Linked DNA regions of Lepisosteus oculatus. The protein of the gene in region 2 purifies or fractionates together with the protein of the main gene of each other region. This does not show direct contact. Links are inferred from orthologs where the notes say so. Each region holds a gene or a part of one and is shown on either strand. Other genes may lie near its edges.

Evidence for each region.
Region 1: the proteins of vps50 (region 2) and eipr1 purify together in Homo sapiens (affinity purification with mass spectrometry; 4 studies listed by BioGRID and IntAct, counting the BioPlex papers as one, with this or other methods). This does not show direct contact. The link is inferred for Lepisosteus oculatus from reciprocal best matches to the Homo sapiens genes VPS50 and EIPR1.
Region 3: the proteins of vps50 (region 2) and vps52 purify together in Homo sapiens (affinity purification with mass spectrometry; 4 studies listed by BioGRID and IntAct, counting the BioPlex papers as one, with this or other methods). This does not show direct contact. The link is inferred for Lepisosteus oculatus from reciprocal best matches to the Homo sapiens genes VPS50 and VPS52.
Region 4: the proteins of vps50 (region 2) and vps51 purify together in Homo sapiens (affinity purification with mass spectrometry; 7 studies listed by BioGRID and IntAct, counting the BioPlex papers as one, with this or other methods). This does not show direct contact. The link is inferred for Lepisosteus oculatus from reciprocal best matches to the Homo sapiens genes VPS50 and VPS51.

The regions. Positions count from the first base shown.
Region 1 is NC_090697.1:14,813,055-14,819,972, reverse strand, and holds the start of eipr1 (EARP-interacting protein homolog), read right to left. Parts: upstream 3,024-6,918; 5' UTR 2,814-3,023; coding exon 2,772-2,813; intron 541-2,771; coding exon 457-540; intron 1-456. Other genes in the region: trappc12 (trafficking protein particle complex subunit 12), read left to right, coding at 3,852-5,057, 6,733-6,849. UniProt on the Homo sapiens protein: Acts as a component of endosomal retrieval machinery that is involved in protein transport from early endosomes to either recycling endosomes or the trans-Golgi network.
Region 2 is NC_090705.1:4,851,590-4,859,549, forward strand, and holds the start of vps50 (syndetin), read right to left. Parts: upstream 3,024-7,960; 5' UTR 2,906-3,023; coding exon 2,873-2,905; intron 1,575-2,872; coding exon 1,506-1,574; intron 1-1,505.
Region 3 is NC_090709.1:39,252,604-39,260,014, reverse strand, and holds the start of vps52 (vacuolar protein sorting-associated protein 52 homolog), read right to left. Parts: upstream 3,014-7,411; 5' UTR 2,983-3,013; coding exon 2,902-2,982; intron 2,335-2,901; coding exon 2,247-2,334; intron 1,137-2,246; coding exon 1,084-1,136; intron 379-1,083; coding exon 303-378; intron 1-302. Other genes in the region: rps18 (small ribosomal subunit protein uS13), read left to right, coding at 5,254-5,256, 5,515-5,613, 6,578-6,664, 6,810-6,911. UniProt on the Homo sapiens protein: Acts as a component of the GARP complex that is involved in retrograde transport from early and late endosomes to the trans-Golgi network (TGN).
Region 4 is NC_090713.1:21,231,091-21,237,963, reverse strand, and holds the start of vps51 (vacuolar protein sorting-associated protein 51 homolog), read right to left. Parts: upstream 3,019-6,873; 5' UTR 2,887-3,018; coding exon 2,713-2,886; intron 1,797-2,712; coding exon 1,667-1,796; intron 1,566-1,666; coding exon 1,419-1,565; intron 1-1,418. UniProt on the Homo sapiens protein: Acts as a component of the GARP complex that is involved in retrograde transport from early and late endosomes to the trans-Golgi network (TGN).

The DNA.
Region 1 (6,918 bases), on a different chromosome or scaffold from region 2:
TTTAAGTATCTGAAAATGTTTTGTTCGAAAATTCAATCACACTTATAATATTACTATGTACATAAAATTTCATCTTAGAAAAACATCAATATTCTTATTAACACAAAGAGTCAACCTCATACTGAATAAAATCTACAAGTAACATTTTGAAATACTACAATATTTAAAATTTCAGCTAAACCTTTACGTATAATGTATGTATAATACTTTTACAAATCACCAAAAGACTCAAAGTTGTAAAGTATGCAGTGGATTATATAAAAGTTATTACTAAGACTGCAGAGAGGGATTGGTGCCATAGACTACCAAAATATTCTAAAAATAAAAAAGTGGTTGAAACTTACTAGGGAGGTCTGCTGCAGTCATGAGTCATCCAAGAGGAAATGTCACTCTTACTGTATTCGTATTAACCCCCCCATCCTTTATTCATTCCTCATTCCATAAGTACATACTCACCTGATTGTCAAATTTAAGAGACTGAGTACCAACTAGAAAGCGAATTGCATCTGTTTCTGCTGTCTGGGCTGTTAAAGCACGAGCCTGAAAAAAACGAATTCCCAACAACAGGTTTAATGCTCAATATTTCAGCGTGTCATCCTAAAACAAAGGTTCTTAGTTAATGTTGCAGATACTGTAACTGAGAATGACGGACAGAAAATCTGTAACTACAGGTAAATGCTAGAAAACTACAAAGAAACGTTAAGAATTTTGTTTAAGATAAAGATGGAAAAAAACTGAAAAGATTTGGACAATACAAAACGTTTTATCCTTATTTGGCCTTCAAGGCTGCCAAAATATTTGCTACCAAAGGTGTTGCACTTGTGTATTTTACACAATGTAAAATAATTTAAATAACTGGGACTTTAATGTTAAGGGTATTTCACACATACAGTAATTGGAGTTTAAATCTGTCAGGTGCTGAGGACAGAACTGGACCAAAGCAGCTTTTAAAACAAGCAAAGAGTGGGTTGCTCAACACATAAAGTTTGAGCAAATGATTTATATGACAGTGGCACATTAACTATTCTGCTGGCGTACTTAGCTGTATTCATTAACAAATAAATTTACGCTAATAAGGATTAATGTCTTGTAATGGGTGTCTGAAGAAGGAACTATTAAACTGAATCTTCACAAGACCTGAACACAACCTTTAAGATTTTTCTGCCTCCTCAAATAGAGCACTTACATAAACATTTTTAGGTGTCCCACTTGTAGTGCTACAGTACATTCGGAATGCACAGATATGCCCAACAGCTTACAAATATCAATAATGCCTCACCTTGTTCTTCCTGTACGGCTATGGCCATGTAAGTCACACAGAAGATCAAGCATCAAGTAACTAATCACACTAAGGACTGCACCTAACCCAATCTCGATAAAAAGCCCTCAACATTTTGACTAATTTCATACCCACTGCAAGACGACAGCACATCAGAATTTCGACACACTTGACAGCAGCTTTGTTCACCCAGGAAGGCTTACATCTGCATCACGGAGACATGCTAACTTGTTCAGTTCAAAATTGTCATGCTGATGTCATGGACATCCAGTGCTGGCTAAATTGTCCCTTTTCTCCAGGGCTCTTCGTGGAGGACTAGGATCCTATCCAAAGACAGAGCAATCATGTACTCCTGCTTGCCATGACACTTATGAGGCTGAGCCATTGGCAGTGGATGGATGGACGGATATCAAAGAATATCTTGAAAGAGTCGATCTGATGCAGGAACATGCAAGATTCTTCACTATTCCTTTTCAATCCCAGTTATCAGTGATGTACTGTAATTGCTGTACCACAACCAAGATTTTACCTATTCACACACACACGGCTTCCTTTTAAATGGAATCTTTATTATCATTAACTAGAATAAAGATTCATTAACAACACTCACAAATCTCACATCAGGCATTCCACTACGTCGCTTAATTGATTTTAAATCTAAATCTAAAATTCTAAATAATTCTAAAAAGTTCTAAATACTTAAGTCCAGTAAACTTAACTACTGTTTTTAGCATCCGTTTACATAATGCTACAATCAGTATTTAATTATTAAGAAAGTAACGACATATCATATGGTATGACTTTGCATACTGAAGAGCTTAATATCAAAGAAATAAACACATGTATAACATCTCCAATCGAGAAGCGAGTGTTCCACAGGACATCATTAACTAAAAATTCAACAGCATACAGAAGCTCTCCTGCCCATTAAATGGAGAGAGATCTTGCAAGGAAGATAGGCACTGATAGGCACTATAATGGAATGCCATTCAAAACAGCACACACCTTCGAATGAATATAGAAATATTTGGTTCTTTGGTTGCAAGAAATGTGAAGCTTTCTAACAGCTTATCTTAATGGATTTTACGATTTGACTAGGTAACACATTGGTTGCTTTTATGTAACCTACAGTAATAAATTAACTAAGACTAAGTCTTGCCTTGAAAAATTATCACGTGCAAAGTAATACGAAGATCATTTGTTACAGTATATTGTCATATGCGGTATAATGCCTGTGAAAAATACCCCCCTTATCGTAATGGACTCTAATTCGATACGTAAAAATGAATCTAGGAAAGCAAGAAATGTACAGCAACTGCATCCCTTCATTGGAATTCTAGTGACTATAGAACAAAAAACGTTCTGCATTCTACATATAAAATATGTTTTGCATTCTGAGTAAAATGTATCTCATCACTTTTAAATACATTATTATGTGCAAGGACTATTTATTAGTTATACACATTTCAGGAAACGTTTTATCTGTACGTACCTGAAATTCAAGGCCATAAATAACAGGTGCGTCGTCCTCCATATTTAAACGTTTTAACACTTCACGCTAACGTTTAATTCGTCAGTTTCATTGATTCTGTCCTCACGCAATATAAGGTATCGATCACTTTAAGCTAACATTTCCGCGAACCACAAAAATATTGTGAATGTTCCGTCTAATTTTGTTACGCTATTTTACCATAACACAAAACAAATGCACAGGTTTCCCCGGCAAATGATCGTAAAGTTTTTCAGGAATACAAAACGACACTTTTCGAGGGCATTTGGTATACCTCGGCTTCCGTTGGTTTCTCTTCCTATTTGTTGTGCGCATGTGCCTGTTTTCTTCTTCTGTCATCTAGGAAAAGGTAAACCAGACGTACAGTATTTAGCTTTTAATATTTTAAGTTCTGGATATTATAAACTTGCTGTATTTATTTTTTGTGTTGTTTAAACGACAGTTTTGTGCAACTGTAACTTATATTTGATTTACAATGTGCAATATAGGTAGGAGGTGTTGATTTTAACGTTACTTTACACTATTTGGTTTTATATAGCTAGAGAATTTATTTTTTCAAACCCATGTAACTCTTCGGTGCGTTTGATCTTAGAAGATATTTGAAACAATATGAAACAAGATCAAAATATATCATGCATTTGATGATTGGATTATGAATTACAGTAGTTAGAATTTTAATGAGAGGTTTAATATAATCAACGAATAAGTTTTACTTGTATTTGTTTTTGCATGGTTTATTTCACAAATTCTAAAATAAATTAGATGTTTTAGCGCTTTATTTCTGTTATTTTGGAGTGGTCGATGACACTTGCATGATAAATATTGCACTTTTTTAAAGAAAACTAAAGGTACCTTAAAAGTCAGATCATTTTTCTCTGAATTGTACTGGCGTTAATGTACTTTGTTAAATGGATAATGATGCTCTTTCTTTGTGTTTATCTTTTTTCTTCTTTTTAGTTTTACTATTTACTCATTGTTTAGCCCTTGTTTCCCATTAGATATATTGTAAATGATTTTTGTTATACTATTAATTCACTGTTTCTTTTAAAGGGATAAAAAGCAATGGAAGGCAATAGTTCAAAAGCTCAAAATCGGGCATCTCTAACACTGGATATTGCTGGGGAAATGGGCAGTGAACGAAATGAAGATTCATCTGCCCAGGAAACTGAAAGCCAACCTCCAGAAATTTTCTTCCAAGAGGAAAATATTGACTTGGATTTGGAGTCATTTGTCACACCACAAGAAGAGAGCCATTCAGAAAATTTCATAGATAAACTTAACGATCAGATGATGGAGAGTGTCATGATATCAGACTCTCCGAATAATAGTGAAGATGATGCTGGCCAGATGGAATCTCTGCTGGAGCAGTTTGAAGAAGGAGGAGACTTTGAATCAAAAGAGACCGAATGCAGTGATGAGAAAACCATGCAAAATGTTGAGACACCTATAATCGAAAACCAAGGTGACCCTGAAGAGATGACTGTGACCCCTGCGGTTCAAGATGAGAAGCAGTGGGACCTCGAAGAAGAAACCAAAGGAAGTGAAAGGGAAATAATCCCTAGCCAGCCCATGCAGGAAGAATCTGATATCGGAAACGCCAAGGTCCAACATACAGATGTTTGCACAAACAAGGAGTCAAAGAATGAGCCAATCCCAGTTTGCACTATTTTCAGTCAAGGTAATCTACCTAAAACACAGTCCTTAATGCCAGATGGCTTTGAGCCTGCGCTGGTTAAGTCTCCTAGTTTTGGCAGCGCTATTGAAACCCCAACTAAACTTGCCCCTCTGGTCTGCCAGCCCAGCCCCAGTTTAAGCAAGTTTTTTGCTGACAATGGGAGCTCCAACCCTGCAACTGACTTCTTTGATTCTTTTACAACCTCATCTTCTTTCATATCTGTCAGCAATCCAAATGCCAACTCGCGCCTTCCAGCTCCTGAACTACAGCCTTCCTCTCCACCTGGACCTGTGGAACAGGAGTCTAGTACCCCTACATTTTTCTTTGCTGCTGCACCCCTGGAATCACCTGCTCCACAAGGTGCTGCTCAAGTGGCACATCCTTTCTCCAAGATGCAGGCCACCTTCCCAGGCAGGGATGACCCTTTTGCAACTGCCCTGAACATGAGTGAAATTGACAGGAGGTATGACGCATGGCTTCCCTCAGATGAAACAAGGAAGGTCTTGATTTCTGTTGCAACCCAGCAATACAGCCCTGTGTCCCTGGGAAAAGAGAAGCTCTCCATGCCTGGGCTGAAGTTTGACAATCTTCAGGTGAGTATTGTTAAAGGGAAAGGGAGTATTACATATAAATATTAAATATATATATATATTTGTACATGACATTGTATTGTAATGTCATGTATTTTCACACAGCTTTGTTAAGTGCCTTCGGGCAACCTTGTTGTGAAAGGTGCTATATAAAAATAAATTGAATTGAATGTATATGAAAATATATAAAAAATAGATAATCCAACAATATTGATCATTTTATATATATATTGTGATGCTGCAAGGGGCAGTGTCATCATTGGGCATGCAACAGACACACCCAACCCAAGCCATAGGGTTTGACTGTGCAATTCAAAGTGTGCGAGAAGTACATCAACCACCATTAAAGAAAACAACAAAGAAAACCTATCCCTTCGTTGGGCTCCTGGCTACTACTTATTCTCTGTCCCTAACTACTAAGCCCAGCAGAGAAGCTGCTTACTGGCTCTCGCACAAAAAAGGACATGTCCCAATAGTCTCCGTAAGCCCATATTCAAAGTCCACACTTCTGTGACATAGAGCAAGTGTGGACTTCAAGTGCGAGAGTAGTCGAGGGTGCATCGTTATAAAAAGGGTAATGGCACTCACTAGTTACACTGGTCAAGGTCAAAAAGCTTTCTGTTGTTGATGCTTTTATTCCAAGTGCATGTCGGCAGATTTTGTTTAAAGAATTTCTCATTCGCCGTTTGCAGTTTTACAAGGTTGACTTGGCAATACCTCAAAGCTTTGTATTAATAACTATGTGTACTATTATATATTCTGTGTACAAAATACGCCACAGGTAAAAGAATATTCATCCGTCAAAATTAGGTGACAAAATAAAAGCTTTATGTCAAAACTTCATACCCAGAAAACATAAAGTATGAATCTAAAGTAGCCTAATTATTTTTTTTACATAAAATATTAAGAATTTTAAAACTGTAAAAAGTGTATATTTACTAGCACATGAATATTTTATTCTCCATGGCAACATGGTTTTGATAGGTTAGAACATGAAACGTCACCATTCCATAAGAAATTGGGGGTAATTCCTAAGTGAAGTCTGCGGACTTCAGAGAACACAAATTGCAACACAGATTTAGAAATGTGAAATCCTAAGCTCTTGCAGACTTTAGCAGGAGCATGCATATGAAGTACACAAGATGGCAAGTGTACATATTGGGACACCGCCAAACAAACCCATTCTTCACATTTTCAAATGTCAGTGGTAGTAATGTCACACAGAGTACTGGTTCATACCACTGTCCACCACTCGCCTCTCTTTGCTCTCTTGCCATCCCTTTTCTGTCTCTCACCACTCTCTCTTTGTGCTGCCAGTTTGGTAGTTACAGTAGCTTATATGGGCTGTGTGAGGGCATCTAGCTGCTTCTCACTCTTACCGATTGCCAGCAGCCTCTATTATATGTTTGACAGCTCCTGTTGGCCATCATGGTAAGGGCAAAGCAGTCAGTACTCTCTGGACAAAATACCACCCCTTGAGGACCCTGCCCCCAGTGGCATTACCATGTGTATATATGAGGTATTAGAAACAAACTAGAAACATAAAATACACCTTCTGTAGCAAAGGATTAAATTATATTTAATGGTCATCAGTAAACTGTGACACTAGGTGAATTTTAAGCATTAGTCAGTTCAGTGTGGAAGTTCTGTATTTTGTACTTTGGACTTTGTGTTTCAGGGAGATGCTGTCAAGGATCTCATGCTGAGGTTCCTGGGGGAACAAGCAGCTGCGAAGAGAGAGGCTTTAACGGCAAACTCCGTGCATCAATCCTTTGAGGGCCTGAAGCAATTAATTGTGAGTGTTTGCTGAAACATTAGAACACTAGCAATTGTTGGTGCATGTCAGGGATATATAAAATATATG
Region 2 (7,960 bases):
ACATTCTGGGTGTTCTGTCACAAAACTTCAGACGTCGATCACTGTAGTGACCATTTAATAACCCCCATGAGCACATATACTGTATGATGATAGCCTATTTAAGATTTAGATTTTTACATTTTAAGTTCAATTTAGCCCATTTGTACAGCGCTTTCCACACGAAGTGCTTTACAAATAAGAAAGGGCCCACTTCACCCACCAGGAAGAGCAACTCCTTAGTAATCATTCTATACCACCAGCCCAAGTAGGAAATGGCTTTTCCAGTTGAACTAAAGGGGACATTTAGGTTTGCGAAATTGTGCAAACCCATAGTGGAACTCAGGACAGGGCACCAGGATTAACATGCCTACTCAAACAAACACAGAGAGGAGTTTAACTGACCAGTATCCCTGTTTAGCATCAGAAGGATAGCACCCATTACAGCACAATGTGACCCGCAACCATAATGGGAAGCTGCTTTGGAAATTCTGGTCCGTAAAAATTACCCATTGGTCACCGGCACCACTTAGAACAGCAAATCCCGTTTTCCCTACAGGCCTCCCATCCAAGCACAGACCAGGCCCAGCCTTGGTTAAGTATCAGTATATGACATGTCTGTGTAAGACACTTCCACGCAAGAGGACATTTATGTCTATTCCTGTACTCCCTTTGCCCTTAGAATTTCAATTTGGCCTTCATTATCAGTCTATGGTATAAAAAAAGGAAAAAAAGGAAAATGAATAATACATTTAAAAATAAAACTTTGAAGGATGGCACCTCCTACAGTTGAACGTTGCCATAGTGCGATGCTGGTTTGGACATTCAAATCTAGAGGTAACAGCACCTCCTCCTGGTGAACCAGCGCCACTTTCACTGCCACACCTGTTAGTGAACTCTCATCCCAGGTCTGACCCAGCCTAGCCCCTGTTAAGCTTGAGCTACAAGTGGTAACAGGCTACAAGGTGGTAACGCTGTTTCTAAAAAAAGAAAAGACACTAGAAAAAAAGCAAGCATGGCATTCGCATAAGTCCACCCTTATCACTCAGAATAACACAGAACCTCTGAAAAATGAACAACCAGCAGGTACCCTCACTGTAAGTTGTTTGTACTGGCAAGCACAGCTGGTAATGACCCCTTTTAAAAACGACCTGAAGGCTGGTGATTAATGCAGGTTGAATGTTTTGGAAATAGCTTTTGTACTCTTATTAATAATAATAATTGCTTATACTTATATAGCACTTTTCTGGACACTCCACTTAAAGCGCTTTACAGGTAATGGGGACTCCCCTCCACCACCACCAGTGTGCAGCCCCACCTGGATGATGCGACGGCAGCCATAGTGCACCAGAACGCTCACCACACATCAGCTCTCAGTGGGGAGGAGAGCAGAGTAATGAAGCCAATTCATAGAGGGGGATTATTAGGCTATGATTGGTAAGGGCCAATGGGAAATTTGGCCAGGACACCGGGTAAGGTGTCCTGATAGGTACCACATACATACCAACATAAGAGCTACATATCCATACCTTGCTAGGAATCCTGAAGTTCTCCACAGGGCTGAGGTCACCTGCATTCTCCTGGGGACTTCTGGGACCCTACAAAACATACAACAACCATAATCACCATTTGCTGGCTGGGCTGTTTACTTCAACTCACCTTTCAGTACAGAACAGCCATGCTTTTGTCTCGTACCTTTTTATATTTAACTATTTAACAGCCTCTAAAATCACAGGGCAGGCAGCCCTGGGATATACACCAAGGGACACAGACGGAAACTACAGGGAAGTGTTCTTAAAACTGGGAACAGGAGGCAGTTCTTGGGCACAAAGTGAAGTGAAAGTCTGGAACGAGCTACCCAACCACATCAAACCTGAGTGCCACTCAATCACAAAACAGCTGAATGGGTTCCTCTGATCACTCAGCGACTAAAAACCATAACTACAACTGCCCCTACTCATATGTAAATATTTTAATGCTCTAAAGAACACCACATTTGACCAAGAAATGCAGTGTCACTTCCATAATTGTGCCTACCATTCAAACTCTAAAGCTTTACTGGGTCAATTTGTAATCGTCATTGATGCCCATGAGTGCCCCTATTAGTGCCTATTCTAGAATAATGTCCACTGGCTCTTTGGAATGCAAAGCTAGCTTGGAAAGCCTGATCTTTTCTGATCGGATTTTTTTCTCACAACGTGTTATGGTAATTACAGTTTTAGTAACTAATGACACATACCGCACAGCACAAGAGTATAGAGAGGTTTCTAATGTAGTTTTGCAACAATCTCGATATATTGTGCTACTAAATGTTCAAAACTTAAAACAGTACAACACTCTCTTGGCTACTATTTCATGATAAATATATATGTATGTAATCATGATATCCGAAAGCGTGCGCAGTCATACATGTAGTACATTCCGAGATAAAAAGTACTTCCCTGTACGCCCACTTTCTGCACTCCATTACGGAATGTGCTCCACGTAGATCATCAACATAAAAGAGATGAGGAAGACTTGTTGTACGACATGGGGTAGATTTCAGTCAGTTCTGCGCTACTGAACTATACAAAACAGGACAGCGCTATCACTATTACACCAGTCCTATTGCCTGATCTCAAGTATGTTACGTTTAGCAAGTCTGTTCTATATCCCTCAAAGGTGATGATGACCTATAAAACCGACTAATTTTCAAACAAGATGGTGCATTCAGGATAAATGTTAAGCGTATCGCTTTCGACCGCTTCCCATACCACGCACAGTGCCGTTTCTCTTTTATCGTGAATCGCATCTCATTTAACATTTACAGTACAAACCCAGCTTTACCCACACCTGTGCACAGCCTCCTCAGCCAGGAGCACCGCTCCTTTTCAAACTGATTGTCGTTATATCTCACCTGCCGGGTCATTAGCGATTTTATCTTTTGCATTTTGGTGTACAGTTTATACGTCGTTCCTCAGAGTCGGTAACAAATTGATATCATTCCCGTGTAACTCCAGTTTCAGGTCCTACAATTCATGAACTGATACAGAACAGCCATGTTTGATAGATCCAATCACATGAATAATTCAGTCCGGGTGGTATTCTGGGAGATGTAGTTCTGCGGAATACCTACGCGTAGTTTCCGACATAGCACGATTAAATTGAGAGACTACATTGCCCACTTTCCTTTGGTTGCCGTCAAAGTCTGTAAAATTGCAGGCGAGTTGGAATCTGCTACATCCGTTTTTCTTTGCCTTCGCTACGTTTAAACGTTTCACAAGGCAAATTTGTTTGAATACAGCTTTTCTGTTTTGATAAAGACTGATATCTAGCCACACAGACACGTGTGCGATTTTTAAACGCTTTGTTGTATTTTTTTAACCAAGTCACTCATGTACTATGTCTAGGAAGTTATTGTTTTATTTATTTTGGAAACAAAACCTAGGGTGTTTATATATGTTGGCGAACTGGGCTTTAAGGAGCACAAAAAAACGAATCAATATGCATCTCCATGCGTCTGAGTTAAATAGGCCTAATCAACTGCTTGTTTGGAAAAAGTCCATTAGCGACAACATTTCCGACCAGTGTCGTAAACGCCTTCGCCAATATTCAAAGACTGTAATTTTCTTTAAAATGTTCATCTTTTATCAAAGGATGAGGTGAACACTAGATGGCGCTGTTAGCGGCTGTTTACTCAGGTAGCTCCCTTGTTCAGTGACAAGTGATGGATTTTACAACTAGCGCAGCTCTTCCGTCTTGCAACTGTTTAATAAAAGTGACTTTAAGTAAAAGTTTTTCTTAAAATCTCATTTATTATTTTTAATATTATTTATATTTTGTATTTTTTATTTTACAGCATTCATCTTTTTTACATGTTGTAATTTGACAGATTATTCTTGGTTATCTTTACTTTTTGTTAACTTATTTTTTTACAGGTGGGTAGCTGCGTCAGCATGCGTAGGCTGCAAAGGAACAAGTAATAGGTTTATTCCATGCTGAAAAAAAGAAGAAAGAGAACACAACGTTTCGGCCGTGGAGCCTTCCACCTTGATACCTGAAGAAGGCTCCACGGCCGAAACGTTGTGTTCTCTTTCTTCTTTTTTTCAGCATGGAATAAACCTATTACTTGTTCCTTATTTTTTTACAGCCTATACACCTTTTGCATGCTGTACCGTACCCTGCCGTGAATTTAGGTTTCTTTTAAAATTTTGTAATAAATAAGATGATAAAAAAGCCATCAGTTAACAGATTGGACTTTCCCAGTGAAGTCATTTTTCAAAAAGGCCATTTGTTTGAAAATTTAAATATCACCTAGCAACAGAGAGAGAGCTACCTTATCCCAGTGTGATGACAGGGTAGATGATTTACTAGTCAAATCTAGGCTTATTTTGGCTGCCAGACATTTGAGGTGTTTACCGAGCTGAAGCAATCCTCTGCAACCACCCGTAAAACACGATGCAGGATGAACAGATGGCATTCCACGAAACAATTCATGAAATATGTTCGGGTGTGAGTGGGGTGTATTTATATGTATCACTTGTAGTGTGTACAGTGCCTGAAAGAATAGCTGTTTTCACTTGAGCCAAATAAAATCTATAAAAATATCAATATAAAAAGAATAACTATTTTCATACATTTTTACCTTGCACTTTCTGCTTGTCTAACCCTTTGTCCTTCACCAAGTTCTAATTACAAAATATTTCATTTGAAAGGCTTTTCAGCAGTAATATCCAGTAGTAATTCCCTGTATCTAAACAAAGTGTAATGTACATGATCTGCCTTCATAGTTTCAGTTGATATTATGTTCAGTGCACTTAGGCAGGTGGTCAGAATTATAGGATTAGCGACGTATTTTCTGTAAACGATGTAAGTGAGTTCAGGTCATCTTATTGGCGTCTGTGTGGACCTTGAAGTTGAAGTCATAGCAGTGCCTCGCCATCGGTTTCTGGCTGCAGAATAAGACTTCTGCAGTCATCTGCAGGAATGGCAGCTGATGACGAGTCCCTCTTCCAGGCAGTCTGCACATCTCTGGGGAGACCGTTGTAAAAATCTGGGTACGTGCACACAAGGTTAAAGAGCGCATATTATAGTGGTAATATGAGAACATAAGAAATATTTTAAAAAGTAGGGAAACCTTTCAGCCCATAGAGCGTGAATTCATTTGGTACTGCTAGTTTAGTAATTAGTAGATGATTGATCCAAGGATTTCATCCAGCCATTTCTTGAAAGAAGCCAAACTATCAGCTTCAACACCATGGCTGGGTAACTTGTTCCACACTCCCACAACCGTTTGGGTGAGGTAGCGTCTTCATTCCCGTGTCTAAATGCGATTTCTTGAAGTTTCCACTTGTTTCAACACTGGTTTGTGTCTCACTGTTTATTTTTAAGCAGTCCGCCAGGTTAACCTTGTCAGTGCCTTTGATAATTTTGGATATTGTATTCCTTCATAGTCTTCTTTGTTCAAAGGTTCAGTCCTTTGAGTCTATCTGGTTTCTTGTCTCTGACTTCAAAGCAGCAATATCTTTTTTGTAAAGTGGTGAGAAAAACTGTTCACAATGTTGTAAATAAGGCCTGACTAATGTACTGTACAATTTGAACATAACATCACTTTTGATTGTACAGCCTAACATTTTGTTTGAATTATTTTTTTTTTTGCTTTCCCACATTGACTGGAAAATGTCAGAGATGTGTCCAAATAAACACCCTTTTGCTTTTTCCATAAGAAACTGTACTAGCTCAGTGCTTCTTATTTTGTATATACTTCCCATTTTGTATGTACTGTATAGTGTAATGCTCATCACTGCTGTGTGAATATTAGCTCAACCCAAGCTAGTATTCATACAGCAGCTGGCCACACTTCCACTTATTTGCCATTTAAAATCGGTTGTCATGGAGTTTGACTAGTTTTACAGGAAACCTGTACCACCTCTAATCAGTTTACTATCACGCCTGCCTCAGGTGGTTCAGGCTACCTATCTCATGAAAACAGACTGCTGCTCATACTGCCTCAAGCAGCGAACACATTACATATGGTTTTTATTACCTGCGTGCAAAACACTGCACTTGTCTACATTAAATGCTGCTGTATCTGCCATTAATAATTAATAATTAATAACACTGATGCAGTGCAGTGTATCTAATTCTATGGTCAGAAGTGTGAACTTGATGCACATTATAAGACAAATCAAGGAAAAATGACGGAGTTTTATCTGCAAAAATATCAATAGAAAGAGTAATGATGCAATAGAATAAAAATCATTGAAAAATTTTATTTCTCTACAGGGCAAAATATTTAATCTTATTAAAGTGCACTTAGTGTACTTTATGAATGTCCATGGAAAAACTGTCTATCATAGAAAATATTTTTGCAAAACCACATCCTGAGGGGTGTGATGCTCTTGAGTCTCTGAGCCTTGGCTCCAACAGGACAGTGACACATGTACACCTGCTATCCCACTGTGTATCAGCATGCCCTGGGCAGAACTGGAAGGAACAAAACCACAGCATGCAGACAAGCCTTCTGTCCCTGAGGACACTGAAATAGAAACAAGAACCTCGGACACAACCAACTCACAGTAAAAAAATACTTTTAAAATTATCTGTTATAACAGTCTATTAGTTAATATTTGCCTTACACTGTTAGTATAGCACTAGAAGGATTTAACAACATTTTGAAGTAGGTTTGCAAATGGCAGTGTTGGTCCATAGAAAAATGTGATAAAGTTAGAACAGAGAAGAGGGAAACAGCCAAAACAAGAGGAATTAAGAGGAAACTCATGTTTGTGTCACATCTCTACAGCTTTCTGCAATGCCTTACTCTACATACGCCATGTGGCAAGGGTGTTTTTAAAAATGGTTCTTAAATTATAAAAATGAATACATAGATTTGCCTTTGATCTTATTGTTGCATAGACAAAGGTATTTAAGACTATCAAGAAAGGCAGCGCAATGCTAAAAACCTTCACACAAAAACATAAAATAGCATGGTACTTAAACCAAAGACGTTAAAATGAGGACCTTTTCTTCCTTGCAGTAATTGCTAGTGAACATATCATATTTATGTGTTTAGTTATATTTATGGTGGTCCATTCAATGCATACTGGTGAGGTTATCAACTGCCATTAAGTTCCCAACTATAGACTACATCACTTTCTGATGTCTTCACCAAGACATGATAGTTAAAACTAAAGTGTTTTCATAAGTAAACTGGGACATGAAAGCTTTGTTTATCAAACTTTAAATCGGAATTTAAATAACAGGTTTGTTTTTCCCTGCTGATGCTGTGCTGTCACAATTGTTAATCCTGTTCAGTATGAGAGGAGCCGCAGGTTCAGACATTTGGAGTCTGTGCTTGGCTGAGGACACGATGGTGAGAAGCTGCCATCTGTGGGATTATGACTGAATGACTCAAAGTCAGAATCCCCCCGTAAGGTTTCAGACAGAACCAAATAAAGTATCTTTTAACCATTCATTTCCCAGAATGGTAAAATCTTAAAATTAAATTGTCATTCTTAACAACAGCAAATTATTCCAGCTTTTTAAATAGAAGAAATGTGGTCACACACTACACTTGAATCTACTGTCACACCATTGAGCAGCTGATCTGCAAAACCTGAGCAAGAACGACCATCCAGCAGATCCAAACAGCTGGTCGTGTGGTGCCAGAGCCCTTCAGCACCCCCGAGAGAGCCAGGAGCATGACATCATCAAAACAGTTCCGCCTTCAACATTTCAGCAAGCTGCTTTCCTTGTTCTATCTTTTGCTATCCAAGCACTCACAAATTTGGAACCAAATGGTATTTAATAGTGGGTTTTGGGATATCCAGATAAGTGAAAACAAGCAGAGCAGGTGAGTTGCATTATTGTAAATTGCTCTATTTTTTTCTGAAAATACATCAATGTCAGTCTTCAGTTTGCCCTGTGGTAAAATAATACTGTAGTTGTTTCACTGAAGTGTCCATCCTTTGACAAACACTGAGTGTATCTTCCTGCAGGCAGAATT
Region 3 (7,411 bases), on a different chromosome or scaffold from region 2:
CCCGCCCCCCTGCGCTGAGCTGCGATCTCAGTGGTGCTGCTGTGACCGAGGCCCCGCCCCCCCTGCGCTGAGCTGCGATCTCAGTGAAGGCTCCATGCCTGAGGCCCCGCCCCCCTGCACCGAGCTGCGATCTCAGTGGTGCTGCTGTGACCGAGGCCCCGCCCCCCCTGCACCAAGCTGCGATCTCAGTGGTGCTGCTGTGACCGAGGCCCCGCCCCCCCTGCGCTGAGCTGCGATCTCAGTGGTGCTGCTGTGACCGAGGCCCCGCCCCCCACGAGGAGGGGAGGGCCCAGAGAGGATACAGTCCCTGATGGAGGCCTGCTCGATCTGCTGCAGCTCCGCCTCCACCTGCTTGGAGTACTGCCTCAGGTCCACACCCTGGGAGAGAGGGTCAGTCTGGGGTCAGTGTGTGTGTGAGTACCGCCTCAGGTCCACACCCTGGGAGAGAGGGTCAGTCTGGGTCAGTGTGTGTGTGAGTACCGCCTCAGGTCCACACCCTGGGAGAGAGGGTCAGTCTGGGGTCAGTGTGTGTGTGAGTACCGCCTCAGGTCCACACCCTGGGAGAGAGGGTCAGTCTGGGGTCAGTGTGTGTGTGAGTACTGCCTCAGGTCCACACCCTGGGAGAGAGGGTCAGTCTGGGGTCAGTGTGTGTGTGAGTACCGCCTCAGGTTCACACCCTGGGAGAGAGGGTCAGTCTGGGGTCAGTGTGTCTGTGAATACTGCCTCAGGTCCACACCCTGGGAGAGAGGGTCAGTCTGGGGTCAGTGAGTCTGGGGTCAGTGAGTCTGGGGTTTGGGGTCAGTCTGTTGGTCAGTGAGTCTGGGGTCAGTCAGGGTCAGGGGGTCAGTGAGTCTTGGATCAGTGAGTCTCGGGTTTGGGGTCAGTCTGTTGGTCAGTGAGTCTGGGGTCAGTGAGTCTGTTGGTCAGTCTGTTGGTCAGTCTGTTGGTCAGTCTGTTGGTCAGTCTGTTGGTCAGTGAGTCTGGGGTCAGTCGGGGTCAGGGGATCAGTGAGTCTGGGGTCAGTCAGGGTCAGTCTGTCAGTCAGTGAGTCTGCGGTCAGTCAGGGTCAGGGGTCAGTCTTACCGTTTTCAGAGCCTCCTTCACCAGATCATCCTCCAGATTAGCCTGGATGTGGACTGTGAGCACAGAAACTGTTAGAGACACACACACACACTACAAACCCACACTCTCACACAACTCTACACTCGCTGTGTTAAAGTGTACACCACACACACACACTACAAACCCACACTCTCACACAACTCTACACTCGCTGTGTTAAAGTGTACACCACACACACACTACAAACCCACTCGCACAACTCTACACTCGCTGTGTTAAAGTGTACACCACACACACACTACAAACCCACTCACACAACTCTACACTCGCTGTGTTAAAGTGTACACCACACACACTACAAACCCACACTCTCACACAACTCTACACTCGCTGTGTTAAAGTGTACACCACACACACACTACAAACCCACTCACACAACTCTACACTCGCTGTGTTAAAGTGTACACCACACACACACTACAAACCCACTCACACAACTCTACACTCGCTGTGTTAAAGTGTACACCACACACACACTACAAACCCACTCACACAACTCTACACTCACTGTGTTAAAGTGTACACCCCACACACACTACAAGCCCACACTCTCACACAACTCTACACTCACTGTGTTAAAGTGTACACCACACACACTACAAGCCCACTCTCACACAACTCTACACTCGCTGTGTTACAGTGTACACCACACACACACTACAAACCCACACTCTCACACAACTCTACACTCGCTGTGTTACAGTGTACACCCCACACACACTACAAACCCACACTCTCACACAACTCTACACTCACTGTGTTAAAGTGTACACCACACACACTACAAGCCCACACTCTCACACAACTCTACACTCGCTGTGTTAAAGTGTACACCACACACACACACTACAAACCCACACTCTCACACAACTCTACACTCGCTGTGTTAAAGTGTACACCACACACACACACTACAAACCCACACAACTCTACACTCGCTGTGTTAAAGTGTACACCACACACACTACAAGCCCACACTCTCACACAACTCTACACTCGCTGTGTTAAAGTGTACACCACACACACTACAAGCCCACACTCTCACACAACTCTACACTCGCTGTGTTAAAGTGTACACCACACACACACTACAAGCCCACACTCTCACACAACTCTACACTCACTGTCCACTTCATCGAGGATGAACTCGTCAGAGGTCAGGTCCAGGTCACCCAGATTGAGAGCAGGAATGTCATCTGGGTCAGACTTCATCTGTGGAGAGAGACCGAGGGACAGCCGTAACATGGGGGAGAGGAGACACAGACCAGGGGGAGAGGAGACACAGACCAGGGGGAGAGCCGTAACACAGGGGAGAGGAGACACAGACCGGGGGGAGAGGAGAGCCAGACCGGGGGGAGAGCCAAAACACAGGGAAGAGGAGACACAGACCAGGGGGAGAGCCATAACACAGGGAAGAGGAGACACAGACCGGGGGGAGAGCCATAACACAGGGAAGAGGAGACACAGACCGGGGGGAGAGGAGAGCCAGACCGGGGGGAGAGCCTTAACACAGGGGAGAGGAGACACAGACAGAGGGAGAGGAGAGCCAGACCGGGGGAGAGCCTTAACACAGGGGAGAGGAGACACAGACAGAGGGAGAGCCGTAACACGGGGAACACACACCTGTCTCCCTGAGAGACCCCTGTGTGAGCAGTAAGAGGCTGGGAGCTGGCTATGGGGGAGAGGGACGTGTATACAAACACACACACGTACGAGTGAGCAAGGAGCCGCCCGCCGGCGCTCCCCGTGTCTCTCCCGGGGCGGAGGCGCTGCACGTACCTCGTCCTGCAGGTACGCCATGGCGCTGACAGCCGGGCCGGCGTCCGCAGTCTGGAGCACCGCCGCCATCACTGCCCGCATCCGGGTCCTCCGCCTCCCAGCAGCCCCCGCGCCCGCCTCCCGGCGTGCTCTGCGCTGAGGGTTTTTTTTAATGGGTTTTATTATTGAATTATTATTGAATTATTATTTTTTTGCCGTAAAGATCGTAGCTGATGTGAAGAACATGTCGCATGGACGGGATGGACCATTTCATCATACGACAATGTTCAGATTTATAAACTCTATATGTAGTTTTAGCTGTGTGCATATGCGGCGAACTCGAATATAAAATAAATTGGAATATATTCCAATAAAATGTATATTTAAATATAAAATAAATGATACTGATCGATACTGTCTTTCAGATGAAGTTAAAGAAATAACATTTAAGATTGTTCATAGATTTTTATCCGGTTAAATTGACACTTTCTGGATTCAAACACGATCGAGATGACTGATGTGTATTTTGTAATAATGAGAATGAGGAATCTGTGTTACGTGTGTTTGTTAATTGTTAATAAATATATACATAATTGTTTTGGATAGATTTTCAAAATGTTGTTGTTAAATATTTAAAGTTAAATGTTAAATTGTGAGATTTTTATATTATTTTATATTTTATTAGACCTGATTTGGATAAACGATACGTCTTCGTAATTAATCTGTTAATTATTTTGGCGAATCCTCCCTCTATTAATGCTTTTAAGGTAGAATTCTTTTTTTATTTAAACTCGATTAGACATTTAAAGAATCAAAAGGCAAAATCTCCGTCGGAACACGTGGAATTATGTAAAAAGTTTAATTTTTAGCTGTTATAATTGTGAATTCCTCCGGCTGTCAAGTGTCTATTTTTGTATCTGTTTTAATATTTTGTCTCCCCCCTTGTATTTCTGCTGTTTAAATAAAAACTTAATCTAAAAAAAGAGTTCAGCTCCCCTGTACGGTGGGCATTTGTACTACCCGCTGTCTCAGGAAGGCTGGGAGTATCGTTCAGGACACCAGCCATCCCGGTTCCTCACTTTATCTCCCTCCTTCCCTCCGGTCAGCGTTATAGGAGCTATTTTTGGGGGGGATTTATTGTTGCTGTCATTCTGTAAAGCGCTTTGAGAAGCCACCTTTAAATAATAATAATTAATAATTGCTTTTACTTATATAGCGCTTTTTCTGGACACTCCACTCAAAGCGCTTTACAGGTAATGGGGACTCCCCTCCACCACCACCAATGTGCAGCATCCACCTTAAAGGCGCTATATAAAATAAAGTTCATTATTATTATTATGATTATTATTATTATTAAAGGCGCAGACTTCCAGCTTCAGAGACGGCTTCTTCCCCTCCAGCTGTCAGATTACTGAACTCTGCCCCTCCCGCTGGCTCACACGGATGTGTTATCCAAGTCGTGTGTTATTAAACTTCTCGTTGTCGCTGCGGCTGTTCCGTGTTGATGTTTGTGGCGATTTATTTCATGTCTTTGGACTGGAGCGGACGGGCGCGGAAGCGTTTCCTCGCACTCGTGCAGAGGACAAACACACGGGGCGGGATCGTGTGAACACACTGGGACGGACCCAACACTACCGGCTGTGTCCGGTCCCGGTCCCGGTCCCGGTCCCGGACGGGCTGGCCGGGCTGGCGGAGGGGTTTCCAGCTCCCTGTCAGTGGGGTATAACTGTGGCTCTCCGCACACGAAGGTACCCCGCAGTCCAAACGCCTCTCTCGGTGAGGAAACTGTCCCCAACACCAGGCAGAACGGACCCCTCTGTGCCCATCAGGGGGGAAACTGCTTTTAACGCCACAGTGAAACACGCAGCCTTCGAAAGCCATGTCAGTCCCCAGTGCACCGCGCAACAGTACAGCCAATGGCGTCGTAAACCCAGCGCCCGCTGGCCCGGAGGGCACCAAAATATTAAATAATAAAGTCAGTCCGGCGAAGGTGCCGACGAGCTGATCCGAGTTTCAGAGTCGAGGGGGAAGGAAAACCTGGGGACACACCGGCCGCACAGGGGCCGGGCCGGCGGCTCTCTTCCGCACCGAAGGAAGACCTTTTCTTTTCTTTTTTTAAAGAATCACGGGGAGTCGTTTAAAACCGTTTCTTTTTTCTCCCCACCACCACCACCACTTAGAGCGCCGTCCTCTTAAAAAGGCAGCGACAGCGGCCCACAAGAAGAACTCGGTCCGTGTTTCCCCACCGGACGGCATTCGGGAGGGGGCGGCGGCGGTCGGGCGCCGGAACCGGAAGCCCCTCCCCGGAGATCCCGCGATATAGTCTCGCGAGAGCGCGGCCTCTGCCTCTTTGCGACGGGACCCGCGGACAAGATGGTGAGAGGAGACGGGCTGCCGGGGAGCCGGCAAGGCATCCGCCGCCATCGCTTGCACACGGGGGCGCCGGCGCCCCGGCCGCCGCGGGGCAGCCTCTGCCGGACCCCTGCCCGGCCCTGCGGCTCGGTTTGGGTCGGAACCGGGTGCGGGTCTGTTTTAAAACTGGCGCTCGCTGCTGTGCTGTGTGATCCGGCCATATTCCCTCCGAGCCGAGCCCGCTAACCCCCCTGTCTCTCTGTGTCTCTCTCTGACCCGCAGTCACTCGTTATCCCCGAGAAGTTCCAGCACATCCTGCGTGTTCTCAACACCAACATCGATGGGCGCAGGAAGATCGCCTTCGCCATCACCGCCATCAAGGTGAGACACGGGGCTGTGAGTGGACCGGACTGGACCGGGCTCTGGGCTGACCCGCTGTGTGTTCAGGGGCAGGGCTGGGCTGTGGACTGAGCTGCTGTGTGTTCAGGGTCAGGACTGAACTCTGGGCTGACCTGCTGTGTCTCTGGGTGTTGAGGGTGTGTGTTCAGGGTCAGGGCTGACTTGCTGGGTCTCTGTGTAGACTGTGTGCTCAGGGTCAGGACTGGGCTCTGGACTGAGCTGCTGTGTGCTCAGGGTCAGGACTGGGCTCAGGGCTCTGGACTGACCCTGTTGGTGTGGTGTGTTCAGGGGGTGGGCGCTGGACTGACCCTGCTGGTGTGGTGTGTTCAGGGGGTGGGCGCTGAACTGACCCTGTTGGTGTGGTGTGTTCAGGGGGTGGGCGCTGGACTGACCCTGTGGTTGGTGTTATTTGTATTCAGGGGGTGGGCGCTGGACTGACCCTGCTGGTGTTATTTGTATTCAGGGGGTGGGCGCTGGACTGACCCTGCTGGTGTTATTTGTATTCAGGGGGTGGGCGCTGGACTGACCCTGCTGGTGTAGTGTGTTCAGGGGGTGGGCGCTGGACTGACCCTGCTGGTGTAGTGTGTTCAGGGGGTGGGCGCTGGACTGACCCTGCTGGTGTAGTGTGTTCAGGGGGTGGGCGCTGGACTGACCCTGTGGTTGGTGTTATTTGTGTTCAGGGGGTGGGCGCTGGACTGACCCTGTGGTTGGTGTTGTTGTGTGTTCAGGGGGTTTGCGCTGGACTGACCCTGTTGGTGTGGTGTGTTCAGGGGGTGGGTGCTGGACTGACCCTGTGGTTGGTGTTATTTGTGTTCAGGGGGTGGGCTCTGGACTGACCCTGCTAGTGTGGTGTGTTCAGGGGGTGGGCGCTGGACTGAGCCTGTTGGTGTTGTTGTGTGTTCAGGGGGTGGGCGCTGGACTGACCCTGTTGTTGTTGTGTGTTCAGGGGGTGGGCCGGCGATATGCCCATGTTGTTCTGAGGAAGGCTGATATCGACCTCAACAAGAGAGCTGGAGAGCTGACCGAAGACGAGGTGAGTCTGGGGGGAGAGGGGGCTGTGTGTGTGTGTTGGGGTGTAGTTGGGGATGTCTTGGTGGGCAGGTGGAGATGTGTTGGGGTCTAGATGGACGTGTGGGGGCTCACTGCTGTGTGTGTTGGGGTGTCTGGGGCGGGGGCAGGTGGAGAGAGTCATCACCATCATGCAGAACCCCAGGCAGTACAAGATCCCAGACTGGTTCCTCAACAGGCAGAAGGACATCAAGGATGGAAAATACAGCCAGGTAAGACTGCAGTGTCCTGAGGGGGGCGCAGCACCCTGCGGCCTGTGGTCAGTTACTGCTCCCTCCTCACTGGGGTACGGGTCTCTACAGTGCCCCCTTGTGGGGCTGCAGGCTATACAGACCACTGGGGTATGGGTCTCTACAGTGCCCCCTTGTGGGGCTGCAGGCTATACAGACCACTGGGGTATGGGTCTCTACAGTGCCCCCTTGTGGGGCTGCAGGCTATACAGACCACCGGGGTACAGGTATCTACGGTGCCCCCTTGTGGGGCTGCAGGCTATACAGACCACTGGGGTATCTACGGTGCCCCCTTGTGGGGCTGCAGGCTATACAGACCACTGGGGTATCTACAGTGCCCCCTTGTGGGGCTGCAGGCTATACAGACCACTGGGGTACGGATCTCTCCAGTGCCCCCTTGTGGGGCTGCAGGCTATACAGACCACTGGGGTACGGATCTCTCCAGTGCCCCCTTGTGGGGCTGCAGGCTATACAGACCACTG
Region 4 (6,873 bases), on a different chromosome or scaffold from region 2:
GAGACAGGTCACCGGGGAGACAGCGAGGCTGTGTGACCGGACTGCAGCAGGGTGTGGACCCCTGGGGGAGAGAGACAGGTCACCGGGGAGACAGCGAGGCTGTGTGACCGGACTGCAGCAGGGTGTGGACCCCTGGGGGAGAGAGACAGGTCACCGGGGAGACAGCGAGGCTGTGTGACCGGACTGCAGCAGGGTGTGGACCCCTGGGGGAGAGAGACAGGTCACCGGGGAGACAGCGAGGCTGTGTGACCGGACTGCAGCAGGGTGTGGACCCCTGGGGGAGAGAGACAGGTCACCGGGGAGACAGCGAGGCTGTGTGACCGGACTGCAGCAGGGTGTGGACCCCTGGGGGAGAGAGACAGGTCACCGGGGAGACAGCGAGGCTGTGTGACCGGACTGCAGCAGGGTGTGGACCCCTGGGGGAGAGAGACAGGTCACCGGGGAGACAGCGAGGCTGTGTGACCGGACTGCAGCAGGGTGTGGACCCCTGGGGGAGAGAGACAGGTCACCGGGGAGACAGCGAGGCTGTGTGACCGGACTGCAGCAGGGTGTGGACCCCTGGGGGAGAGAGACAGGTCACCGGGGAGACAGCGAGGCTGTGTGACCGGACTGCAGCAGGGTGTGGACCCCTGGGGGAGAGAGACAGGTCACCGGGGAGACAGCGAGGCTGTGTGACCGGACTGCAGCAGGGTGTGGACCCCTGGGGGAGAGAGACAGGTCACCGGGGAGACAGCGAGGCTGTGTGACCGGACTGCAGCAGGGTGTGGACCCCTGGGGGAGAGAGACAGCTCACCGGGGAGACAGCGAGGCTGTGTGACCGGACTGCAGCAGGGTGTGGACCCCTGGGGGAGAGAGACAGGTCACCGGGGAGACAGCGAGGCTGTGTGACCGGACTGCAGCAGGGTGTGGACCCCTGGGGGAGAGAGACAGGTCACCGGGGAGACAGCGAGGCTGTGTGACCGGACTGCAGCAGGGTGTGGACCCCTGGGGGAGAGAGACAGGTCACCGGGGAGACAGTGAGGCTGTGTGACCGGACTGCAGCAGGGTGTGGACCCCTGGGGGAGAGAGACAGGTCACCGGGGAGACAGGGAGGCTGTGTGACCGGACTGCAGCAGGGTGTGGACCCCTGGGGGAGAGAGACAGGTCACCGGGGAGACAGCGAGGCTGTGTGACCGGACTGCAGCAGGGTGTGGACCCCTGGGGGAGAGAGACAGGTCACCGGGGAGACAGTGAGGCTGTGTGACCGGACTGCAGCAGGGTGTGGACCCCTGGGGGAGAGAGACAGGTCACCGGGGAGACAGTGAGGCTGTGTGACCGGACTGCAGCAGGAGTGACCTTACTGCAGCAGGAGTGAGACAGCGTACTGTGTACTGCGCAGTGCAGCAGGAGTGAGACGGCCGGGGAGAGTGAGACGGTACCGGACAGCTTGGTGATCTGCACGTGCTGGTCCTGCAGGGTGCCGCTGATGCGGGCGCTGAACTCCGTGATGGCGGCCATGTTGGCGGCCAGGCAGTCCATCTCGTCCTCCATCTTCTTAAAGTCGTTCTTCATCTTCCGGATGGTGTCTGGGGCAGAGGACGAAGGAAAATGCTGATCATACCCCCAAAACACCCCCCCCCCGGTTCTCAATTCAGATCCCCCCCTCCCCTCCTCTGCCCCCGCTGACCTGTAGCAGAGATGAACTTGTTGTAGTTCTCGTAGACCAGGGTCTGCATGTCGCTGTCCAGGGCTCGGATCTGCTTCACCATGCAGGCCTCCTGGTCCATCAGCTCGGACAGGGAGCACTCCTTCCTCAGCTGAAACACACATAGGGGGTAACTAGGCTGGGCTGGCAGTTCAGGTCCAGTCCTGTCACAAGAGCAGGACAGCTGGTCCAGTGGTTCAGGTCCAGTCCTGTCAGACCAGGAGGACAGCTGGTCCAGTGGTTCAGGTCCAGTCAGTTAGACCAGGAGAACAGCTGATCCAGTGATTCAGGTCCAGTCCCGTCACACCAGGAGGACAGCTGGTCCGGTGGTTCAGGTCCAGTCCTGTCAGACCAGGAGGACAGCTGGTCCAGTGGTTCAGGTCCAGTCCTGTCAGACCAGGAGGACAGCTGGTCCAGTGGTTCAGGTCCAGTCCCATCACACCAGGAGGACAGCTGGTCCAGTGGTTCAGGTCCAGTCCTGTCAGACCAGGAGGACAGCTGATCCGGTGGTTCAGGTCCAGTCCTGTTAGACCAGGAGGACAGCTGGTCCGGTGGGTCAGATCCAGTCCCATCAGTCCAGGAGGACAGCTGGTCCAGTGGTTCAGGTCCGGTCCTGTCAGTCCAGGAGGACAGCTGGTCCAGTGGTTCAGGTCCGGTCCTGTCAGACCAGGAGGACAGCTGGTCCAGTGGTTCAGGTCCAGTCCTGTCACACCAGGAGGACAGCTGGTCCGGTGGTTCAGGTCCAGTCCTGTTAGACCAGGAGGACAGCTGGTCCAGTGGTTCAGGTCCAGTCCTGTCACACCAGGAGGACAGCTGGTGCATTCTAATACACTAGTTAATGTAATATTATTGATCCCTGATCATCGCCATCCTAATACACCGCGAATTCCAGTTCCTCCCCCGCCTGCTGCTGCAAAACAAGGCCGCCTTTGGGGATAGAATAAAGACAATCTCTACTCTCCGACAGTCACGGTGTGAACACTACCAGCTCCATTATTAATTATTATTATTATTATTATTATTATTACCTTGTTGAGATAGACCTCCGGGTCGAAGTGCGGCCCGTTGATGTCGCAGGGATCCAGCGACTCGCACCTCTCCCCGGGTTTGCCTTCCTCGTTCAGCCCGTAGTACAGCTTCAGCATCCCGTGAACCCGGCGCTGGCGGCCCGCTGCGGCCTCGGCGGCGGGGTCCGAGTCCATCTCGGCCGGCGGTGGCGGTACCGAGCCAGAAACTCGCGCGAGCAACCGTCAGGGACCCGGAAAAAAGGGACCGGACCGGGAGAGATTCCGGGAGGAGGGTGACGCGTCAGAACCTGCGTACTACGCACCGAAGGGAGGGGGCACAGCCATTGGTGACGTCATCCGGAGGCGCCCCGTCTCCGTCTCCCACCTTATTGGCCGGTTATGTAAAAAGCGTCATTTTCAGCTTCTATAATTATTGGTAATAATGCGCTTTATTCCATATAGCGATTTTAAAAGTGGCTTCCCAGAGCGCTTTACAGGGGGGAAAAAAGATTTTTGCAATTGATGTCTTTTCAAATACATCCTTTTTTTTTTTTACATAAGTGATTTGGCTTAACATCGACGACTAACGGACTCCACACGTAATTTAAATAATGTCAAAACTTTCTAAAACTATTAGAATGCCTTCTTATCCCAGCGGTGATGTACAAATGTGATACAGACCATTGCAGTTTCCTGTTCTCGATAATCCTGATCCCATTCGTGCAAAACATTTATGACATTACTAGACATTATGCCATATGTGCTGAAAACAATGCCCTATCTTTATACCGTTAAACTTACCACCCTTCTGTATCTCTGAAGTCCCTTTGGAAAAACCTAACGCTCAGGTCCACAGGAGGGTTGTCCCTTGAGGAAAATGAGTCTTTACATCAACTGTCTCCCTGAGTGTTCCCGGGCCCATTCCTGGAGATTCCAGGCTTCATTTCCGGGGAAACTCCAAGCCGATCCCGGTGGGATGGGATCTTGTTGCCCCTGGGGAACAAGCGCTCGGCTGCCAGCAGCTGATCCCCAAAGGCCTACAGACATGGTCGATCGGACCTCTCACCCAGACACTCGGGCCAATTAACCAATTAAGATCAGAAGAGCAACACACAGCAGAATAACCCTGTGCCCGGACCTGCTCGTGCCCGGGTCTGCGGAGCGGTGGCTGAGGATCTGTGCCTCTGGCTGGGAGGTTGACGGTTCAAATCCCGCGGCCGGCAGAGGAATCCCACTCCGCTGGGCCCCTGAGCAAGGCCTTTCACCCCAACTACTCAAGGGGTGCTGTATAAATGGCTGACCCTGCGCTCTGACCCCCAGCTTCTCTCCCTGTCTGTGTGTCTCATGGAGAGCAAGCTGGGGTCTGCAAAGAGACAAATTCCTAATGCAAGAAACTATTCATGGCCAATGAAGTGATCTTTTCTCTTATCTAAGAGCAGGGGTTCCCCGTCCCGTGCCTGGTGACCCCCCCTACACCTGCAGGCTTGCGTTCCAGCCCAGCCCTCGGGGACACAACCAAACCCTTCGTCAGTTCAAGCAGGGGGCTGCGCCAATAGGCGTGGGCTGCAAAGGAACAAGTACAGGTTTATTCCCTGCTGGGGAGAGAAGAAAGGAAGCGCAACGTTTCACACCCAAAGAAGGCTCCACAGCCGAAACGTTGTTTCCTTACTTCTCTTTTCAGCCTGGAATAAACTTTTTACTTCTTCCTTTGCAAACCCTTCATTTACTTCACAGTAACAAGATTCCTTTTTTTTTCTCTCCTTAGCGCGTTGCACAGCGCCCTGGGGTTTGGAAAGGAGCTTTATAAAAACAGACTATCCATAAATAATTACAATTAATAGCGTGATAGTCGGATGAATGCGAAGGGGTTTTGTGAGTTTAATAAAATGCAGGTATCTAATGAAGACCAGCAGGTGCGTCAGCGCAAACACAAGGACGACAGGCTGAGAACAAACGGCACACAGGGAAAAGAACGTTTTAGTGGAAAAAGAAAATCTCTTTTTATTAGAACAGAACTCGGTTAGATCTCTGGGCTTAACTCTAGACGAGACGACGCCTTCCGGACCCCCTTTTCCCGACATCATCTCCCACCTGGCCAGCATCCTGGAGCTGGGGATCACAGGCCCCACAGCTCCTCCGCGAGGGCAGGGCGGGTCCTGACAGCAAGGTGGCGCGGCTCCCGTCCTGCAGGGGGCGCCGCACCTGCGGGGGTGTCCCAGCTCCTGCAGAACTGGGAGGATCTGGTCAAGCAGATCAAGCCCCTGATTGGTTTAAGTGGTTAAGAGCTGAGCTGGAACGAAAACCTGGTGGCGTCTCGGGCCCTTCAGGACCGGATTGTGATTAGAAGAAGATTAGAGAAGCAGAGGCAGGGATACAGACAGATCCCATCACTCAGGCAGACCACAGGCGGGGACAGACAGGAGGACAGGTGTCGTGGCAAAGACAGAAACAGCCGATAGAGAAAAAGAGAGCTGGAGATCAGACACATAAACAGATCGGGGAAACAGAAGTGACCGTCATAAAAGACACGCAACATCGACAGAAACGGACAGCACGAGCCGCGATCTCTGCAGAGACGCAGTCAGAAGTTCTGTGCGGTCCGAGTAAGGCATATTTAAGGCATCAATATATAATCTCACCATCCGCCATTTTAAATAATCGCATTAAAAAAAACAATCTGTTAAAACTCGTTAATAAGATTTTCCACTTTTAGAGTTCACCAGGAAAAAAAAAAAATATATATAAAGCAGTGTGTAAATTCTAGTAACCCTACAGTGAGGAAGTGGGATAGAGTTTTGGTTTAGTAACGTAGTGAAACAACGGAAGGATTAGTGACAGGAAGGAGGGGAGTGCTTGTCCCGTACGGTATTAATCCGGCTTATTGGGTATTTGGGAATGTTGGGGGATAAGGAGGCCAGACTGCGTGACCGAACGACTGCAGGGATGGGGGAGGGGGGCGTGTGGCCTGCAGGGGGGGGCAGCTGGTGGAGCATCCGGGTACGGATCAGCCAGGGCCACCGCCTACTCCCCCAGGGCCAAGCTAAGAGCTCTGGCCTCCAGGAGACCCCCACCGCCATCTCCTCTCTTCCCTTGGAATAACAGCGATCCGCGCGACTCAACAGCTGGGCTTCAGCGCGCCCCAAGGCACTTACTGTATGTACGCGATCTGATTGTCTCTTGGATAATAAAGACACATCTTCCCCCTCCTCCCCTTCCAGGAAGAGCTACGATTCAGCATAAAACAGGGGTAAAAACAAACAAAAAAAAATTGCCTGTAAATATATTTTTTAAGGACGCACGTAGGACGATGAGCAGCTGGGTCATAACTACAGCACAGGGCACCTGTGGGCGTAGGCGTGATCAGGCTTGCTCGTTCGATAGTGGTGATGGAGACTCATATTTAATAGAGGAAGGGCTTGCGTCTCACAGTGGATGCAGACATGTGGGGGGCAAGACGTGTCACTCGAGTGGTGAGGAAATCCCACCTCTCAGGCATTCTACCCATCAGGGATACTGGAGAATGGAAATATTTCACTGCAGACTGATCCACTCCAGGTGTGACAGTGCTGTCAGTCAGACTCCCAGTGCGCAGCAGACTGATCTGCTCCAGGTGTGACTGTGCTGTCAGACTCCCAGTGCGCAGCAGACTGATCCGCTCCAGGTGTGACAGTGCTGTCAGTCAGACTCCCACTGCACAGCAGACTGATCCGCTCCAGGTGTGACAGTGTTGTCAGTCAGACTCCCAGTGCGCAGCAGACTGATCCGCTCCAGGTGTGACAGTGCTGTCAGACTCCCAGTGCACAGCAGACTGATCCGCTCCAGGTGTGACAGTGCTGTCAGTCAGACTCCCAGTGCGCAGCAGACTGATCCGCTCCAGGTGTGACAGTGCTGTCAGACTCCCAGTGTGCAGCAGTCTGATCCACTCCAGGTGTGACAGTGCTGTCAGTCAGACTCCCAGTGCGCAGCAGTCTGATCCGCTCCAGGTGTGACAGTGCTGTCAGTCAGACTCCCAGTGCGCAGCAGTCTGATCCGCTCCAGGTGTGACAGTGCTGTCAGTCAGACTCCCAGTGCACAGCAGACTGATCCACTCCAGGTGTGACAGTGCTGTCAGTCAGACTCCCACTGCACAGCAGACTGATCCGCTCCAGGTGTGACAGTGCTGCCAATCAGACTCCCAGTGCA